Kluyveromyces lactis: one gene and its partner. The protein of the gene in region 2 binds, or shares a complex with, the protein of the main gene of each other region. Links are inferred from orthologs where the notes say so. Each region holds a gene or a part of one and is shown on either strand. Other genes may lie near its edges.

Region 1 (2,472 bases), on a different chromosome or scaffold from region 2:
CATTAATTGGATCAGACTTCTGAACCGGTATATCCGTATCAGTTTCTACCATGTCTATTATCTCTGACATTCAACTTGACTGAATAATGCACCCTTGCCTATCGCCAAAGAATCAAAAAAAATATGGATTGAACACTAATAACCCCTGTATATGGGTAACCTAACAAAATAGACCTTCTTCTATATTTATATATCTACTGCTAATATGCTCCTTCAACGCCCGTCTCGAATATTTTGCCATCAACTGGCAATGGCCGAACCCTATTTATTGAGGTCATTGGATCCTAACTTTTCTATTTTCGAGAAAAAAGACGGCTTTAACAGTTTCTATGGTATCTCCTCTTATACAAAGAAGCACAGAATTGAAGAATCCTCGAGCAAAAGAAAGAGCAACTTCGTTATGCTGTGGTGACTGGAAGTAAGAACAGTTTGAAGATAGGAAGCTAAGATGGAAAGTTAAAAATGCATTAATATATGAGGAGAGGTGTAAGTAAAGGCCGTAGCTTCCGGAGGAGTGAAGAACCAGAGCTTTGACCTGAAAGTCTATTATACAGTTGTCGGTTTTCTATTTTGACTATGATATATAGTACCCACAAGATTTCTTACTTACGACACAATAAGTAAGCGTTTTCTTGTTTCAAGTTGTTCAAAAGTCTATAATTTCCCTCAAGTCTCATCAACAAGCCACCAAATGAATAGTATACTGCAAGCAAATCCTTGTTACCCTTAACTTCTTCGAATTTGTAGGCAGTTCCGTACATGACATAGTCATAATCATCTGCAAGAGATCTGGTTCCAGCAGGTGGTGCTCTCCAAGAGGTACCCTGAGGTTCCTCCGATCCGTCAAGTTGGAGAGAAGTTGTGATCATGACTGCAAGTTGATCTTGAGTCTTTATTGGGAACAATTCACTGTTGATATCCAATGTTAACTTACAGGATTCTTGTGAAGTCGATTGAGCTTCAATACGAGAGACCTTGTTGTATCTTCCTGTGTCCACTTCTTGAACGGTGAAAACGTCATCAAATAGTGCCGATGACATGACGTGTGTTGGTAAATGAGAGTACTGTTGTGTTGGTTCTAGTTATTAAAGTCGGTGGGCCAGTAGGAACACAAATGAGAGACGAAAAAGAAGGGAACTTATCGGAGAGTCTGTAGTGGGTATGAAAGGTTTCAAACTAATAATTTCACTGCTGATATGAGACTATCTACAGTGAGCCGAATCGAAAGCGCATCACATGTATATGATTGTCTGTCTCTCAGTTGTTCCTTCAGGCGATGAGTTACAACGAAATTTTTCAAGATTTTTCTTGCCCATGAAAAAAATATGTGTCCGGGTAAAAGAAACAACTTCGGGTAACGCTAATCAATTTGCCATCCCTTAGAAGTCCGAAGAATCCAGGATACAGAGAGACGGTCCGCTCAACTCTGCAACTAGTTGAAACGCTTGTCGGAACAGTCTGGATGATTATAATACAAATGATGAATGAACCTACATGTTAGTTATACACTAGATAACAACTGTTGTAAAAAAAAGGGTAGCCAAAAAAAAAAAAAAATTACGAATCATGGGCAGTTGATAAGGCACGATAAATGGAAGTACCTAATCTTGGAATTTAGCTCTCCTAGATAGCTTTCAGAAACTGTATGATATATTCGGAAAAATATAGTGTTCGATTTAACTTTGTAGTGGAGTTAAAATGCGAGGGAAAATCGTAAGTCAAACCAAAAGAATTAAGGGAAAGACGAGTATGCTAAAGTCCATTCAATGGACAAATGAAAGTTTGAGCCGGAGAAGCAATAAGAAAATTAGAGATTAACTAATTAATTTAACTCTTAACTCTAACACTCTATTTCAACTGTGTTGTAGGTCTCTTAGCCTGGTAATCCTTGATGGCAGCCTTGATGGCATCTTCAGCCAACATAGAACAATGCAATTTAACCGGAGGTAAACTCAATTCTCTGGCGATTTCTGTATTTTTAATCTTTGCTGCATCTTCCAAGGTTTTCCCACGGACCAATTCGGTCATGTATGAAGAAGAAGCGATGGCAGACCCGCACCCGAACGTCTTGAACTTAACGTTTTCTATCACTCCTGTTTCGTCGTTAACTTGGATTTGCAATTTCATCACATCACCACAAGCTGGGGCACCGACAAGACCCGTTCCAACATTTGGCAAATTCTTGTCTAGAGACCCAACATTTCTTGGGTTTGTATAATGATCAATGACCTTTGGATGGTAAAATCTAGCAGAGGCCATGGAAGGACTAGAGCCGACGGTAGGAGCAGTTGCTCTAGCAGCTGCTACACCGATTATTCTAGTTCCGCCTCCACCGCCGTGCATTAGTGCACTTCCCATCCTCTGTACTGCAAACATTTGTCCTCTAAACATTTTTAATTATGTGTATGTGTTTTGAATGTTGATCTGTTATCCTGAACTACTAAACCTTGATTCAATATCTGGATTATTGAA
Region 2 (2,708 bases):
GTAGCGTCGCTCCAACGGGCCAGTTGGATAGTACACATCTTTCCACGAAGATGCTTATAGCCACAGAATATATCCAAGAAAGAGGGGAAGCAGTACCGGTAGATCAAATCGAATCATATCTTTCGTTACCTAAGGATAATAATGTGATTCCGATGTTAAAGGGGTTACAAAAATTCAAGTTTGACCCAAAGAGGAACACTTTACAGTACGTATCCATTTACGATGTGCATTCTGCGGAGGAATTGCTACAACTATTAAGATCACAGGCGACGTTCAAGGGTATATCATGTAAAGAGTTAAAAGATGGTTGGCCACAATGTTTTGATACAATCGACGAGTTAGAAGCAAAGAACAGAATCCTTGTTCTTCGGACAAAGAAGGATAATTCTCCAAGGTTTGTCTGGTATAACCATGCTGGTCCATCAAGGCAAATCGATGAAGAGTTCGTTACGATGTGGGAAGCTTGTAAGCTACCTCAGCGTAGTGAATTACCAAGAAAACTACAAGATTTGGGTCTCAAGCCTGCTAGTGTGGATCCTGCTACGATCAAGAATGAGCAAACCACAAGGAAAGAGGTCAAGAAACGTAGATCAAGAAAGGGTAAAGTTACCAATACACATATGGCTGGTATATTGAGAGATTATTCCGATAGGGTATGAAGATACCTACTTTTTATAATGAACGTATTCTACATATAACCCAAATTAAAATATGACCAGTGCGTTATATATAAATAATATACAGAAAGACCAGAACGAGTGCTCTAGTCGTGCTTTCTCTTTTTTTTGCTAACTTTCTTCAAATCTTTATCCTCGTAATACCCAGTTGCGAAATGTCTAGTCTTGAGACCCTTAACCTTCAACACATCCTTTCTATCCACTCTTACCTTAGAATAATCAATGCTTGGAATCTTTGCAGTTTCGCTTATGGTAAAGATCTTATCAAATGATCTTGATGCAGATGAATCGACGGTCAACTTTGTCTTATCTACAGGAGTCAATAATGTCAATTCAGAAGAAGAAGATGCACCAGAAGTGGAATTTTCTTGTTGGATTTCCTCCTTCACAGAGAAATGTTTACCTTTTTGTTCGATGCCAGTTTCCGACTCCGCTGTGAAATCAATAGGTAATTTCGAAAGCTTAGAGACATCTAAAGATTTAGGAAGTTTGATAAGCCAAAGTTCTTTTTGCTTCAAGTTCTTAGGCTTCACGAATGATTTCAAATGTGTACATTTCTTATAGTTTTCAGGTGGAACGAAAACGTCCGTTACAGTTTCTGATGATCCATCATTATCGCTGTCGCTATCACTGATGTATTCCTTTGAAAGAGTTTTGTCGACCTTGGCCATTGTTTGAGATATTTCTTATAACGTTTTGCGAGTGGAATAATATTACAGGGAAGGGTGTAACAAAAACTCACCTGAACTAGTTAAACTGTAATTGGAACCCTAGGACCACACAGAACCTCACTTATCTGCCTCTGTGTGTCTATTTGAATCTGCAATGAGATGAGATGAGCTTAAACCGAATTTTTTCATCTTGGGAAAGACTTTTCTTTCTTTTTAGACGTTACCCGGGAAAATGCACGTGGTTAACACGTGGAACAAACTATCGTATTCATGAAATCTGTTCCAGTTCATCACAAACCATCGAGAAATGGTATGTCCGACTTGAACAGCCTTCGAGCAACATTTATTGGATCACTAATACTATGATTCCCGTTGAATGGTATGACATCGATGCCCTAAGTACTTGGTTTACTGTATTATCATGTCGAACGACGCAATTATTCCAAAAATTTTTTCCATGCTTCTTCGACACGAAGAATATAAAAAGGCTGGTAATGAGAAACAAACTAGACATGTTAAACTCATCAAACCATTTATCCAGGTTAGGTATTGAAAAGTTCTGTAGGTTGTTCTCTAGCCTCACTTGCTGTTGGCAAGTGAGCTTTATAGTATCCTTGATGGAGCAGTGTTTCACAGCCGTGAAACACTGATTCGTCTATGTTACGCTTGGAAAAGAGACCTTTTCCATGAAGAAATAAACGTAAAAGTTTGCATATACGTGGGATTCATTATTACTTCATACCTTACGAAAGAACTTCAAAACATTTAACGATGATGAAAACGGTCTACACTTCTTTCCCAGTCCGATATCGACCATGACGATATGGGAGTCTACCATGTTGTTGTCTTACGGGGCAACGACTTTTTAAGCCAGTACATGCTTTGACATGTACAATTTAGATCATCTGAGTTTTCTCTTTTTAGTTTTCTTAAGGTCAAAGTAACAGTGAAACAAGATCCATCGTCGTATCTTCTGTTGCATTTATTTCTTCAAAACGTTTCACTTCTTCTTTTTAGCTAAGAACATGATTGTGCGTTATGGATTTTAACATTTTTTTATATGATGAAAATTGGTTCCTTTACATTCGCAGTTTCCACGGTAGGAGTACGCCTACGAACCCATCGTTAGTACTCTTCAGTGACCGCTCTTTATTGAGACCTTCCTAGGATGTCTGATCTTTTTATATGTTATTATCCATTTCCATTTTCAATCCTGTTATCATCGCAGAACCTGTAGAACTGTCAATCTTTCTTGCTTTGTCTTATGTATCTAAAAGGCTTAATTATACTAATTACAAAACGCCAAATGGTCTAGGCGTCCACTCGGTGACTTCTTGCCAGTTGGAGATGGGGGCATTGC

Evidence for each region.
Region 1: RPA34 (region 2) and RPB8 share a complex: the UniProt entries of both Saccharomyces cerevisiae proteins name them as parts of the RNA polymerase I (Pol I) complex. The link is inferred for Kluyveromyces lactis from reciprocal best matches to the Saccharomyces cerevisiae genes RPA34 and RPB8.

Annotation. Positions count from the first base shown.
Region 1 is NC_006040.1:610,500-612,971, forward strand, and holds RPB8 (DNA-directed RNA polymerase core subunit RPB8), read right to left. Parts: upstream 1,041-2,472; coding exon 603-1,040; downstream 1-602. Other genes in the region: KLLA0_D07117g (mitochondrial fission process 1 family protein), read right to left, coding at 1-70; putative iron-binding protein ISU2, read right to left, coding at 1,849-2,391. UniProt on the Saccharomyces cerevisiae protein: DNA-dependent RNA polymerases catalyze the transcription. of DNA into RNA using the four ribonucleoside triphosphates as substrates.
Region 2 is NC_006037.1:552,640-555,347, forward strand, and holds RPA34 (DNA-directed RNA polymerase I subunit RPA34), read right to left. Parts: upstream 1,349-2,708; coding exon 764-1,348; downstream 1-763. Other genes in the region: transcription factor TFIIE subunit TFA2, read left to right, coding at 1-659; rRNA-processing protein LAS1, read right to left, coding at 2,641-2,708. UniProt on the Saccharomyces cerevisiae protein: DNA-dependent RNA polymerases catalyze the transcription of DNA into RNA using the four ribonucleoside triphosphates as substrates. Component of RNA polymerase I (Pol I) which synthesizes ribosomal RNA precursors.